2 linked regions of the Elephas maximus indicus genome follow. The protein of the gene in region 2 interacts with the protein of the main gene of each other region in a biochemical or structural test. Links are inferred from orthologs where the notes say so. Each region holds a gene or a part of one and is shown on either strand. Other genes may lie near its edges.

The links.
Region 1: the proteins of ATR (region 2) and RPA1 form a complex in vitro, tested with the Homo sapiens proteins (2 studies listed by BioGRID, with this or other methods). The link is inferred for Elephas maximus indicus from reciprocal best matches to the Homo sapiens genes ATR and RPA1.

The regions. Positions count from the first base shown.
Region 1 is NC_064837.1:19,912,384-19,920,398, reverse strand, and holds the start of RPA1 (replication protein A 70 kDa DNA-binding subunit), read left to right. Parts: upstream 1-5,011; 5' UTR 5,012-5,137; coding exon 5,138-5,170; intron 5,171-5,652; exon of another isoform or gene 5,653-5,964; intron 5,965-8,015. Other genes in the region: SMYD4 (SET and MYND domain-containing protein 4), read right to left, coding at 3,331-3,464. UniProt on the Homo sapiens protein: As part of the heterotrimeric replication protein A complex (RPA/RP-A), binds and stabilizes single-stranded DNA intermediates that form during DNA replication or upon DNA stress.
Region 2 is NC_064841.1:17,233,370-17,240,710, reverse strand, and holds the start of ATR (serine/threonine-protein kinase ATR), read right to left. Parts: upstream 3,008-7,341; 5' UTR 2,839-3,007; coding exon 2,780-2,838; intron 1-2,779. UniProt on the Homo sapiens protein: Serine/threonine protein kinase which activates checkpoint signaling upon genotoxic stresses such as ionizing radiation (IR), ultraviolet light (UV), or DNA replication stalling, thereby acting as a DNA damage sensor.

The DNA.
Region 1 (8,015 bases), on a different chromosome or scaffold from region 2:
CAGTGTGGATGAGACTGCCTCGGGAGAGAATACTGAGGGAAAAGGAAAAAGAGCCTAGGCTGGCGTCTTGAGGAACTCCAATATTAAATGACGAGGCAAATACTCTTCTTTGATTCATATTCCTTTTCAGTGCACTGAAACTTCAATATGATTCTTGTGGATTATTACACTTTGCTGCTAGGAAGCTGTATCAATTTATCATGGAAAAACTGGTTTCATCAGCAGTTCTCCATCATTTTTGGAAACCCTGTAAAGGCAATTCACAGATCCTGTAGTGCTTTCCACTGTTTTTCAAACTGGAGGTCAGGACTCAGTGAGTCATGAAATCAATTTAGTGGGCCTGGATTAGCTTTTTTTTTTTTTAATTGAAAGAAGCAGAAAATACCAAAGTGCATCATGTTTAGTAAGCATCTAGGCCCTCTTCCTTGGTGAGCTCATCCAGTCTCATGCCTCTAAATGTCATTTACAATTCTCAAATCTGTATCTGTAGCTCAGGCCTCCTAAACTCCACTCATTTAGACATCTCAATTTCCACATATCTAAACGTAAACTCCTGATCTTCCTTCCCAAAACAGCTCCATCTGCAGCCTTTCTAGGTGATGGCAATTTTATTCTTCCACGTTTGACCCTTTAGGCTAAAGTCCCTAGAGTTATTTTTTTATTTCTCTCATTCTCTAACACATCACGTCCCATCTGTCAGGCAGAATGCCCACCTTTCATATGGGAGAACAGGGTTCAATTGCAGGCCAATGCAACCACCACCTGTCTGTGGAGGATTGTATGTTGTTATGATGATGAACAGGTTTCAGCAGAGATTCCAGACTAAGACAGACTAGAAAGAAAGGTCTGGTGATCTACTTCCAAAAATCGCTAATGAAAACCCTGTGGATCACAACAGTCCAATCTGTAACCAAGGCTACCACCCTGGTCCAAGCTACTATCTCATCTCTTACCTGGACTGATGCAGTACCTACCCAACAGGTCTCTCTGCTTCTCTCCTTCCCCCCTAGTTTATCCTCAACACAGCAGTAAGCGTAATCCTTTAAAACAGGGGTCAGTAAGTTTTTCTTAGAGGGCCAGACAGTAAATACCCTGGCCTTACAGGCCAAGAGGCAAAATCAAAGACATTATGTAGCTACAGGAGAGAAAACAAATTTCCACAATTTTTTGTTGACAAAATTAAAAACATAATAATAATTGTGTACAATGTTTTGTAATGCAGGTCTACTCATGAGAAAAAAATTTTTAATGATAACATTTTACTTAATTGGGGTTCAAGGTCAGTGTTCTCCATCATTAAATTGGTTGCAAATGTTTATGTGTAGAAACTATTCTTAGTTGGGCGATACAAAAACAGGCCAAAACCAAAAAAATCAAACCCACTGCTGTTGAGTTGATTCCGACTCATAGTGACCCTACAGGACAGAGCAGAACTGCCCCATAGAGTTTCCAAGGAGTGCCTGGCGGATCTGAACCGCCAATCTTTTGGTTAGCAGCTGTAGCACTTAACCACTGTGCCACCAGGTTCTCCCCCCCCCCAAAAAAAAGGCAGTGGGCTGGATTTAGCCTGCAGGCTGTAGGTTGCAGCCCCGTTTTAAAAAACAATCATATCACTCTTCTCTCAAAACTCTGTGCATTTGCTTTCTATTGCTTCATACAAATTGCCAAACTCAGCAGCTTGAAACAAAGCTCGTTTATTACCTCACAGGTCTATAGGTCAGAATCAAAGAAGGCTGAGCTGAATTCTCTACTTAGGGACTTACAAGGCTGAAGTCAAGGTGGGCTCTTATCTGGGAGATCAGGGGAAGAATCCAATTCCAAGCTCATTCAGACTAGTGGCAGAATCCAATTCCTTGTGGTTGTAGGTCTGAGGTCCCCAGTTCATTGCTGGCTGTCAGCCAAGGGCCACTCTGAGCTTCTGGAAGATGTTGGCGTTCCTTGCCATGCGGCCCCCTCCATCTTCAAAGCTAGCAATAGCACACTGAATCCTGCCATGCTTTGAATCTCTCTGACTTCCCCTTCTGTTAACAGTTGGGAAAAATGCTCTGCATTGAAAAGTTTCACCTGATTGGGGCAGGCATCCTCAGATAAGCTCCATATCTCAAGGTCAACTGACTTGGGACTTTAATTACATCTGCAAAATCCCTTCATTGCAGTCCCTAGATTAGTGTCAGATTGAATAACCAGGGGACAGGAATCTTGGGGGGCCATCTTTAGAATTCTGCCTACTACACCCCGCAAAAGCTTCCTACTCAGAGTAAAAAGACAAGGCCCTTACCAGGGTCTACATGATCCGTGCCATCTGCTCTCCCCCAATCCCCATGCCTGCCCCATTATATCTCTAGCCTTGTTTCCTACTACTCTCCCTCTGGCTTACTCTGTTCATCCACATTAGCCTCCCTGCTGTTCCCTCAACATGCCAGACACATTCCCAGCGTAGGGTCTTAGCTCTAGTCTCTGCCTGAGATGCTCTTCTCTTAGCTTGTTGACTCCTTTACCTCCAATCTTTGCTCAGGTTTCACTTTTTCAATAAGGCATACCCTGACCACCCTACTTAATACTACCACCTGCACTCTTGCTCCTGGCACTGCCTATTTCTCCTACCCTGTTCCACTTTTTTTTTCTTTCCCTTACTGTACCTATCACTTTTAATATATTACATACTTCGTGATGTTTATTGTCTCTCCCTCCTTGATAGAATTAAGCTCCACAACTGTTGACTATTCTGTTCGCTAATTATTCCAAGTATCTAGCACTGTACCTGGCATAACGTAGATGATTAATAGGTATTTACTGAATGAATGAAGTTTCAGGAAATTCCTATTTCTGTTTTCTACATATGTGTGTAGTAGATTGTGGTGTAAAATGTATTTCTTACTGAAGGTGCAGTCAAGAGAGTTTGAAAACTGCTGGAGTTAAACTATATGACCTATAAGGTCCTTTCCAAATTTGAGCACTTAACAAAATTTCACATGCAGCTAGTAAATCTCCACCATATCCTTTGGGAGATGGCAACGTTCACAACCTAGTGACTATAGCAAGGCACCGAGTTACTGAAATACAACACTGACACAGAGAAAGCTAAATAGTCATCCTTACCTGTTCTGTACGGTTGCTATGAGTTGGCATCGACTCGACAGCAACGGGTTTGGTTTGGGTTTTTTTTTTTTTTTTTGGTTCTATGATTGTGGGTTAGAAAAGACTGGAAACAGGAAGAATTGTTGAATGCCCCCAAAACACAAAAATCTGAAATTAAACTTTCCACAAAAAGAGATATTACTTCAGAGCAAACAAAAGAGAGCAAGTTCCAGATCACTTCTAGTCACTTACTGAAAAAGCGAAGAGCAGTGAAGGAAGACATCACTCAAAGTCCCTGCTGTAGAAATTGTGTCCCGAATGGACGTCGGGAGCAAAGCCCACTTCCTGAGTATATATGCTTTCCACTCATCCACAGGCAGATCCATGCTACTTTAGATCTGTAAAATGAGTAATAAGGAATCAGATTTCTATAAATGCACAATGCCAGACAATTAAGATTTTATTCAAGCAAAGTTAACGCAAAAAAAAAAAAGCAATTCTTTGGGTCTTTTCTATATTTGTTTATATGGATGTTTTGTTGTCTCGTGGGGCAGTGGTTAAGAGCTCAACTGCTAACCAAAAGGTTGGCAGTTTGAATCTACCAGCCGCTCCTTGGAAACCCCATTGGGCAGTTCTACTCCGTCCTGTATGGTTGCTCTGAGTCAGAATCGACTTGAAGGCAGCAGGTTTTTGTTGTCTTATAACAAATGTCTGAGGAAAGATCTATATCTTCTCACACCAACTCACTCAATAGTAACTGAAAGCCTACTACATTCCTGGTACCACGTTAGGTGATTGCTAATCCATGATGAATCAGAGTAGATAGCTACCATCACTGTCCTCTTGGAAGCTCTACCTACTTAAGTTGCTCAAGTCAGAAGTCTGGGAGCCACCAGATTTTTCTTTTTTACTCATCCCGGCAACTATTCAGTTAACAAAGATTTCTCTCCTACGGTTCAGTTTTCTCCTTCAACTCCCAGGCCATTCTTTCAGTACAGGCCTCAAGATCCCTTGCCTGACATCCTTTCCAGCATCATAACTAGTCTCCTTGCCCTCAGTTCCCCCGACTTTGAGAAAGATGTCAGTCCTCTGCCTTAAATGCATCAATGCTCTTCCTAGTACACAGGGAAGACCAGTACCAACTCTTCATTATTTGACCCTTGGCTTCCTTTCTAATTCTCAAGTGCACTTCCTTCTCTGTACTCTACCATACTGAAATACTCATAAGCTACCTCTTGTCCCCCAGTTTGCGAGGCTATTTCATCTCTCCAAAATTTTTGCAGAGTCTATTCATTCGGCCAGGTTCACCCTACTCTCACTGGGTGTTCACCTGGTAAACTCCCATACATCCTTCCAGGTTGTATTCATACGGCACCTCCTCCTGGAAGCCTTCCCTTGATCTTCCATCTATGATTGCAGTATACTTTGTGTCTGTCCGGTGCATACCTACTTTTAGTTTGGGCTACTCACGGTCGGTGGCTACTCCCCCGACAGACTGTGCTCTCCTCTGAGGGCAGGAGCTGGGTCTTATTTACCTTCAGAGGCCCCCACAGTGCCAAGCTCAAGGCCTGGCACCGGCAGGCGTTCGCACTGGGCTGGCCAAGGAACAAAGTCACTGCTTTGCCTATATTTAGCAGCAGAGTTCCCAGGGAACAGCTCTAGCTCTCCTCCGGGCTGCCAGTCTGTCTCCCCCTAAAGACAGCGCTGGGTACGCTCCCAAGAGCCCGTTCGGGAAGCTCCCGGAACTGGGCCCCTGGCGCCCTTAGCTGTTTCCGCGCAACTCTTGGCACGTCCTGCGGCTCGGCGCTCCGCCCCCACGCCCCATCGTCCCGCGACAAGACCCCGCACGCCCTTGGGCGGGTCACGTGGGCCGTCCACCTCGTCTCGGCCAGTCCGGTTGCTGCTTGGCCCCTGGGCCCGCCCCGGCGCCGCACGCACGTCGGGAGGTGGCGTGGCGCGCGCAACTCCTTGGGCCAATCGTTTTGGAGAGCGCGAGACGCCGGGGAGCGGAGTGGGGGCTGCGGAGGAGCCGGAGCGCCGGAGTTAACGCGGGGGAGCCATGGTCGGCCATCTGAGCGAGGGGGCCATTGCGGTGAGCGGCCGCCTGGCAGCCGGGCGAGCGGGACGGGGAGCTGTGGGCCCTGGAGGCAGGGAGTTTGGAGATGTGCGGAGTGGAGGAGCGGAGGGGATCTAGGGGCGGTGGGGAGAGGACTCGAGGGGAGTAGATGGCGGAGGGGAACCGCCGAGGTGTCTTTCTTGTAGGGTCCATCACTCATTCGTCGAAGGATTTTACCATCGTCTTTTAAACATGGTCACGTGTTTCGTATCTAAGAAAACAAAATAAACACCTGACTCCCCGATTTCCCTGCGCCTGCCACTGTCTCCTCCCTTTTCCCCATCTCAGCCAAACTTCTGCAAAGTTGTTTTCAGCTATTTCATTGCTTCACCTCGCATTAACTCGTTAACATGCTCCAATCGATCATCCCCCGATCGCTATAGAAATATCTCTGGCTTAAGTTACTGGTGGTCTCCACGTCGTTAAATCCAACAGATACTTTTCAGTTTTCAACTTACCTGAGTTCTCAGCAGCGTTCTCAGTCTGTCGAGCATCGCTTTCTTGTGGTTACACTCTCTTCTTTTGGCTCCTGTGGGGCAGCTTGGTTGATCTTTGTAAATTTTGTTGACTCGAGGCTCTCTTCTAGGCCATCCTCTCCCAAGGCAACCTCATAACCATCTATGTATGGCAATCATTCACACATTTCGTTGTCCCGAGCTGCCTTTATGCTGAAAACAAGCCTGTTTACCGGATATCTCAAAGGCATCTCAAATTCAACATGCCAAAAGCAAACCCGTTATCTTCCTTAGTCTGGGTCTGTCAGGGTTCTTTATTTTGGTGAATGGCACCATTGTCGGTTAAATTATGCTAGCCAGAGATTGAGAAATCATTCTTGTGACGTCCTCCATCATCCTGTATGTCCGTTTACTTCACCAAGTCCTGTATATCTTACCTCCACATGTGTTTCTTAAATTCGTTTATTTCTCTCCATACACAGTGTCATGTGTTGCCTGGATTACTCACTCCCTACTCAATACCCTCTTCCCTTCACTCCTGTCATCCCAGATTTTCACTGCTCTCTCCCCAGCCTCATGGTCTTTTTTAAGTTCCTGGTATATTCCATACTCTTGCCTTCCGCGGGACCTTCGAACATGCTTTTCCCTCTGCCTGTTGCCTGAGTGGTTCGTCACTCTCCATCTCTCTAGCTAACGTTATCTTCAAATCCCAGCTCAGCTGGGACTTCCTGAGGGAAGCCTTGTTTGACCAAATTTTGGGAACGTACTGCTTCTTCACTTACCACCTGTGTAACTTTGGGCAGGATACTAAATGTTTCTCTGCCTCCTTCCTCCTCTTAAAGTGAAGGTGATGATACCGAGTGCCTATTCCATACGTGGGAGGATTTAATGAGTTATTCCATTTAAAGTGCTTAACCCAGTGCCTGATACATAGTAAATGCTCAATACATGTGTCCTATTTTATTTATTTTGTTGTTGAGAGTATACACAACAAAACATACACCAGTTCAACAGTTTCTACATATACTATTTAGTGATGTTGATTGCATCCTTCGAGTTGTGCAACCATTCTCATCCTCCTTTTCTGATGTTACCAATTTTTTATAACCACTGATTTAATTTTACATTTGTAGGTTTATTTAATTAAGAGCAGTTACTTTTTGACTCTCCCACTGGATTGTAAATTCCATGAGGCCACTAATTATGTTTGCTTTTTTGCTCAGCATAGATAGAATTGCCAGCACTGCTTTAGCTACTGGGGATACTGTGCCCGATGTTCACTAATCACATGAATGCATTAACCAAAACCAAACCTGTTGCCGTCTAGTCAATTTAGACTCGTAGTGACCCTGTAAGACAGAATAGGTTTCACAGTGTGGCTGGCAGATTCAAACCGTCATCTTTTGGTTAGCAGCCAAGCTCTTAACCACTGTGCCACCAGGGCTCCCTCAATGCATGAGGCAGTGAAAACAAAGGGATACTGATGGATGGGGAAGAAAGGGAGCTTAGGGGAAAGCAGGAGGGGGAAGAAGGGTAGGTGGAGGCCTGTAAATACTTGCTAAAATTTGGGGATGCAGAAATGCTGAGACCTGAAAAGTGATTGCAGACTGTAGTCCTCATTCTGTCCTATAGGGTCGCAGTGAGTCGGAATTGACTTGACAGCACAGGGTCATTGGGTTAGTCCTCATTCTGACTCAACAGCACTGGGTCACTGGGTTAGTCCTCATTCACTTTGTAGTTGCTACCTTGCACCTTAAAGAAAATTATGAATGGTTCTTCACTTTTAAAAGGAATGATCATGAGATAATTTAAATTTGCTGAGTGATTTTTCCCTGTATTCAAAATTTTAGAAACATATTTCCAGTGTTGGGTAAAGTGTTACTTGAGTTTTACTCAAATGAAGGAAAAAAAAAAAGACGTTTGCATGTGTGTATGTGTCTATCCTGGCAGCGTGTGGCGTGAACTTTTGTGAACTTTGATTATGAGCTAAAACAAGTAGTATCATTTAAGTGCAAAAGACACAGGCCCAAAGGGGAAAGAAAAGAGCACACGAATAGTAGAGGCTTTTTGAGCAAAATAAAAATAAAAGATTATGCGTGGAACTGTTGTGATAAATGGAATAAATGGCATTTCTATCTTAAGTACTTGGGTTATAGAAAGAAAGGGGAAGGAACTAATATTTCTGCTTTCCAGTGTGCCAGACACTTTGCAGATAACAATCAGTACTTATATTAACCCTGTAAGGTGGGTTTTTATCATTACCCCCATTTTACAGATGAAGAAATGAAAAGTGCAGAGACATTGAATCATTTGTCTATAGAGCAGGGACCCAAATTCATGTGCCCTTGACTATCACATTCTGTTGG
Region 2 (7,341 bases):
ACACAGTATGGTTAAGTACAAATACCGCCAAGAAAGAACACAAAAGGGACACTCAATCCTGATGAGGGGCCTATCTGTCAGGGCTTTCTGGAGGAGGCGAGACAAAGCTGAGTCCTTAAGGGGTCAGGCAGGTAAAATAAGGGAAAAATAAAACAAAACCCATTGCTGTGGAATCGATTCCAACTCATGGTAACCCCATCTGTTACAGAGTAGAACTGTTCCATCGGGTTTTCTTGGCTGTGATCTTTAAAGAAGTTCACCAGACCACTGGATGGGTTCGAACCGCCTTTTGGTTGGCAGGTAAGCACAAACCATTTGCATCACCCTGAAACACACAAAGGAGAAGTGGAGGGTGCTCCAAGGGGAGGAAAGAGCCATGTGCAAAGGCTCAGCAACAAGAACACGGCCTGCTCTAGGAACTCTGTTGTTGACATGTGTCATTAAGTCAATTCCGACTCACGGCAACCCTATATGACAAAGTAGAACTGCCCCATGGGGCTTCCGAGGCTGTAATCTTTACAGGAGAAGACTGCCAGGTATTTCTCCCGCAGAGTCGCTGGCTGAGTTCAAACTGCCAACCTTTCAGGTAGCAGCCAAGTGCTTAACCATTGCACCACCAGGGCTCTAGGAAGGGAAAGGACGTAACTGAGGATGAAGCTTAGAAGGTAAAATGGGGTCAAAGCTCAGAGGACCAGCTAAGGAGTTTGGATTTTGCACAGGGGGCGATGAGACATCGAAGGGTTTTAGGAAGGGGAGAGAAGATAAAACACATTTTTAAAAGGTAAATTCAATTGTTATGTCTCTGCTTAAAAAGCTTCAAAGGCTTCCTACTGCACTTACAATAAAATCTAACTCTTTAGTCTGTAAGGCACTAAATAATCTGGCCCCTGCCTGTCCTTCGATCTTCATCTTATACCACTCCCCTCTTCATTCAGTATGTTCCAGCCTTCTTTCCATTCCTTAAAACCTAGGCTCCTTCCCACCCAGATTTTTTTTTTTTCTGATACAAGGGGGAGGAGCCTGGTGGCAGAGTGGTTAAGAGCTAAGGGTTCTAACCAAAAGGTCCACAGTTCAAACCTACCAGCTGCTCCCTGGAAACCCCACAGGGCATTTCTGTCTTATAGGGTTTCTATGAGTCGGAATCGACTTGATGGCAATGAGTTTATTCCATCTCAAACACTCCTCTCCCAGGTCATCATCCAGGTGTCCTCTAGTGGCTTGTGTTGCTGCACCCAAGATCTTCATCCCCATCCCACTGGCCATTTAACACTTTAATTGCAACTATCAATCTCTAAAAATATCTTGATTGCAAAGCAATTTTAAATAGGGAAGTCAGAGAAGGCATCTCTGAAACGACATCTGAACAAAGCCAGTCAGTGTTCAGACAGAAGAAACAGGCTTGGAGGCAGGAATGACTTTGGTGTATGAGAAACAAGGTCAATGCCACTGGAACAGAATGAACAAGGCAGGGACAGAAAGCAGTGAGTTTAGAGGCAGGCTGGAGCCAGATTATGCAGGACCTTAGAGGCCTTGTAAGGAGTTTGGATTGTATTCTAAGTGTGCTAGAAAGCCAAAGGAAGGTTTTGAGCAGGGGAGGAATATTATATAATTTAGAGTATGATTTATAGTTAAAAAAAAATCACTTTGGCTGCTGAGTGGGAAATAGATTGTACACGGGCAAAAGTAGCAATGGAGAGGCCAGCTGGGAGGTTACTGTAATACTCCAGATAACAAATTATGGTGATAGCAACAAAGATGGTGAGAAGTGTCCGTTTTTAGACAATTCTATATGGGTCAGTTTTTCTACTCTTTCTCTTGAAATGGCTACAAATAAATAAAATGAAAGGTAATATAATCTCTGTTGATGAAACAGACTAAGTATAAATCCAAGATACTATTACTTTTATTAATAAATCTCATGGAGGAAAAGAGGGAAGCTAATTCTACATTACATAAAAAAGCAAGGTGGGAAAAACAGAAGGAACTTCACAATGAGCCTGAAGGAGAAAATCTGTACTTCGACTTAATAAAAAGAGCACTTTTACTTTTTTTTTTTTTTTACAAAAGTAGACGTTACTTTACAGAACGTTAATGCAAAGTATCTTTGCAACATTTGTGCAAAGTGGAAAAAATTCACACACACAAAAATAGGGTGATGCAATCGGGACAAGAACGGTGTAGGTCTCTTATCTCCTTATTTATGTAACTGAAAAAGACTAAATGTGCTTGTATGGCTGACAAGTGGAGGTAAACACGAGGAGTCCCTGGGCGGTGCAAACAACGGCTGCTAACCCAAACGTTAGAGGTTTGAGTCTACCCAGAGGCGGCTAGGAGGAAAACCGTACGGCGCACACAGGGCTCTGCTCTCACACACGGTGTAACCATGAATTCCAAAACGCTCGATAGCAACTGAGTGTGGAAAACGGACCAGGAAGTGACCCGAAGGGACCCCTCTCTCCGGCTGCAGCAGGGCACCCCCCTCACCCCGCGTCGGGGCAAGCTCCGGGCCGCGGCAGAGATGAGGTGGAGCCGGCAGACGCCTTCCTCCTCTCGGACCGGCTTCCCTCAGGCCTCCGGCTACGCTTCGGGTCTTTTCCCGGTCTCTGAGGGAGAAGCGCCCAGCTCAGCCAGCGGGCATCTCCACAGGGCCCGGGCCGGTGCTGAGGAGACCGGAGCCGGCGCGCTGCAGAGCGGGGGAGCCCCACGTGAGCCGCCGGCTGGGACCGAGGACGGGAGGGGTGGGGGACGAAGGGACTGAAGACAGCCGGCCTGGCCCTACCTGCCCAGCTCCCGCAGAGCCGGGATCATAGACGCCAGCTCCAGGCCATGTTCGCCCATGTTGAGGCGGCGCGGCCCTCGGCAAGGAGATCCACACGGACTCCCGGCGTCTGCACCGCTGCCTCTGGCGGGAATGCGGGGCCCGACGGAGTCCCGTGGAGCCCAAACCTCCTCCCGGAAGCCGCCGCTGGTCCCGCTCACCAGGCCCGACTTTCCTTTCCGCACAGGACCCGGGGGAGGCCGACGGGCGAAAGGGGCGGGGAGAGAGGCGGGGCGCGTCGGTCAGCTTTCCCGAGCGCCGCGCGGGCCGGAGGCGCGGAGCCTTGACTGTGAGGGGAAGACTCTGCTGCTCGCAGCCGGGGAGGCTCAGAAACCAAGACCGCGGGATCTGGGGAGAAGGAGGCTTGGCAGGGAACTGCCCAGACGCCCTGGCTGCATAAACGCGAGAACTGAGAACACTGAATGACTGAGAACCAAGACTAGAGGCCAGGTCTCCCCAGGGCGTGACTCCCTCCCCGACCTACGAACCTGCCTTCAGGTTTTCGTTGTTCCTTTTACCACCACACTCTTGGCATCCTTTCTGAGAGAATCCAAGCAAGAGGTGGGTTCCTCCCTATCCAGGGGAGGATTATCCAATAAGCAGGGTAAGCACGGGCTTACTTGTGTTTACTTACTAATCTGTAATGAACAATTTCATATGGGTTTCTGTGAAGTTGTTCACTACAGAATAGGAAGTAAGCACAAGTAAGCCCGTGCTTATCTTGCTTACTGGGTCATCTGTCTGTGTCAGGGATCGTAAATTTGAAAAGAGGGTTTGATTGTATCAGAAGGTGCTGTGGGGTTGGGAGAGAGATGCCAGCCATACCTAGAAGCAGGATCTTTGATGTGATGAAGGAATGTGAAATTGCTCACTACAGATGATCTGGTAAGCAAGGTGAGCACCATGCTTGCCTTGCCTATTGGATAATCCGCCCCTGTCCATATCCTTTCTATTTCAGCAATATTTTCTCCTTGGAAGACACTCTTATGTTTCCTTGAGGATCCCCCCAGTCTTTAACATTTAAAAATGAGATTGGGTTGTTTTTGTATGCCTCATCAAGTCAGCAGCAATACTCCGTATGTTTATGTCACTTATGGGCATCTACTACCTGTGATTTAATTTTTAAAGTAAATCAATAGATTTTGTCTCTAGACATAGTCTAGCTCAACCCAATTTGTTTACTTGAAAAATGGCCATTATAAGAGACTACTGACGTGTCAAAAATACATATTTAACCAGGTAAAGCCATGCAGTGTGCTTACATTTGCTTTTTTGTTTTTTATTTTGCATATGAAATAATTGCTGATACAGTATCAAAAAAAACCCTCCAAAGTTTAGAATGACAACCAAACATGCTCCTGATTTAGGGCCTTTTCATTTGCTGTGTGCTCTGCCTTGACCTTGAATGCCTGTCCCTATTTGTCCCCTTCCTCCAGGTGTCCCCAAAGAGCCCCTCCTTATATAGACCAACACGTATACACTCACACGCTCTGTTCCCCTCATCCTACCTTATTTTCCTTCATAGCACTTAGAACCATACTATTTGATTAATCATCTCCTCCACTTAGAATTTAAGCTCCTGGAGAGCAATGTCTTGTCTGTTTTGTTCACTGCTAGATTCTAGGTTGAAATGCAGTGCCTGGCACGTAGTTGATCTTCTCTAAGTATTTGTTGAATTAATTGTTGAGTGGTATAGTGGAAAAAACAACATGGGATTGCAAATTAGTGACCCTGTACAAGTCCTCATTCCATCTTCTAGAAACCATGATCTCAGAAAGTTTCATAACCTCTCCATACTTCAGATTTGTTCATGTATAAAATGGGATTAATATCTACTGCAAAAGATTGCAGTAAAGATTAAGAGGTAGTAGAGTCATTTTTTTTTTTTTAGAGTCATATAGTGGAATACCATTTCATAGTTTAAATGAATGAAGGGTACGATACATACCAAATGGATGAATCCTCAAAGCAATATCGAGTGCGGAAAAAAAGCAAATTGCAAAAGGATACATAACAAAGAATTTCTACAACTCAACAACAAAAAGGCAACCCACTTAAAAAATGGGCAAAGGACTTGACGTTTCGCCAAAGAAGTGGCCAACAAGCACATGAAAAGATGCTCAAAGTCATAAGAGAGATAAATAAAATCAAAACCACGATGAGATACCCCTTCACCCCCCACTAGAATGGGCATTATTAGAGAAAAGGAAAACAACAAGTGTTGGCGAGAATGTGGAGAAATTGAAACCCTCATCCATTGCTGGTGGAATTGTACAATGCTGCAGCTGCTGAGGAAAACAGTATGGTGGTTCCTAAAAAACTTAGAACTACCTTATGACCCAGTGTTATGGGCTGAATTGTATCCCCCCAAAATATGTGTTATAAATCCTAACCTCTATGCCTGTGGTTATAATCCCATTTGGGAATGGGTTATCTTTGTCACGTTACTGAGGCAGGATTAGTGTAGCACGTGTTTTGTGTCAGTGTCTCACAAGGTATTAAAAGGAGCAAGTTAAGCAAGCAGATATGGGGGAAGATAGATGGCAAGCCACGTGGAGATCGCCAAGGAACCAGGAAACAAGCTGGAGAGACAAGGACCTTCCCCCAGAGCTTAGGGAGAGAAAGCCTCCCCTAGAGCTGGCTCCCCAAATTTGGACTTCAAGCCTCTTAAATTGTGAGAAAAGAAATTTCTGTTTGTTAAACCCATCCACTTGTGGTAATTCTATTATAGCGGTAATTTTTTTTTTACATAACTAAGACACCCAGCAATTTGGTATATATACAAAAGAATTAAAGGCATGAATGTAAACAGATAGTTGTATGCCAGTGTTCATGTTCATGAAAACCCTGGTGGCTTAGTGGTTAAGTGCTACAGCTGCTAACCAAAGGGTCAGCAGTTCGAATCTGCCAGGCGCTCCTTGGAAACTCTGTGGGGCAGTACTACTTTGTCCTATAGGGTTGCTATGAGTCGGAATCGACCCGACAGCACTGGGTTTTGTTTTGGTTTGGGTTCATGTTCATTGCAGCATTATTAACGATAGCCAAAAGGTATTAACAACCCAAGTGTCCATCAACAGATGAATGGATAATAAAATATAATATATCCGTACAGCTGAATATTATGCAGCCACAAAGAGAAATGAAATTCTGAAACGTGCAACAACCTGGATGAACCTTGTAAACATTATGCTGAGTGAAATAAATCAGACACAAAAGAGCAAATATTGTTTAATCCCACTTACATGAAATAGGAGAGTTCTGGCAGTGCAGTGGTTAAGAGCTTGCCTGCTAACCAAAAGGTTGGCAGTTCAAATCCACCAGCCACTGCTTGGAAACCATATGGGGCAGTTCTGCTTTGTCCTATAGGGTCACAATGAATCAGAGTTGACTAGATGGCAAAGGTTTGGTTTTTTTGTATATGAAATAGGTAAGTGCATACAGACCAAAATTTATTAATTCTTACCAGGGGCGGGTGAGAGGGGGAAATGGTAGGCATTGCTTAGGGGGTACTGAGTTTCTGCTAAGGGTGATGAAAAAAATTGGAAACAGTAGTGATGGTTGTGAAACATGGAATGTAATGTCACTGAATTGTACACATAAAAATGGTTGAAATGATTTGTGATATATGTATATATGTATAGTTCACCACACTAAAAATATTTTAAAAGAATACATAACGGCATTATATAATTTCTGTATACTTTTGAAACCACAAAATAATACTTTGTTATGTTCGCATACATATAGGATAAAACTACAAAAACATGGTTGGGAAGCTTATACATCAACTCCCAAAAAACCCACTGCCATTGAGTCGGTTTTGACTCATAGTGACCCTATAGGACAGAGTAGAACTGCCCCATAGAGTTTCTAAGGAGCGCCTGGTGGATTCGAACTGCTGACCTTTTGGTTAGCAGCCATAGCACTTAACCACTGTGCCACCAGGGTTTCCACATCAACTCCAGGGTAATGGAAATTCTGGGGAGGGAGAGAAGGGAAAGAAATGAATAAGAGTTTTCTCTTAATAGAATGTCTGAAGTGATCACGACAAATTTAACATTTGTTACATCTGGGTGATGGTATATTATCATCTGTATGGTTAGCATATCTCAAAAAATGTATAAAAAATAAATACATTTTTTTAAAGCTTAAGATAGATAATGTGAAAAACATTGTCAACTAAGAAGGAACAGATATTAGCTATTATTTTTAAATCGTGTGAAGAAAGAGTACAAAAATTACAGTGCTGTCTAGAAGGTAATTGCTGAATAGTGTTGTAACAGAGGCTCAGTAATCCATTTAATTTAAAAAGTACATTTTGTGTAAGGTATTGTACTAAGTACTTCTGTGACACAAAAATGAAGATAAAGTCAGTCTGAAGTGATATGTACTCTGTGGGTATAGAAAGGATGTATCGAGAACTCAAAAGCAAAGCAAAACCTGATGGATACCATAAGAGAGATATAAACAGCAGGCACTAGAAAAATAGAGGAAGCGATTCTATCTACTCAGCTAGAGAGAGG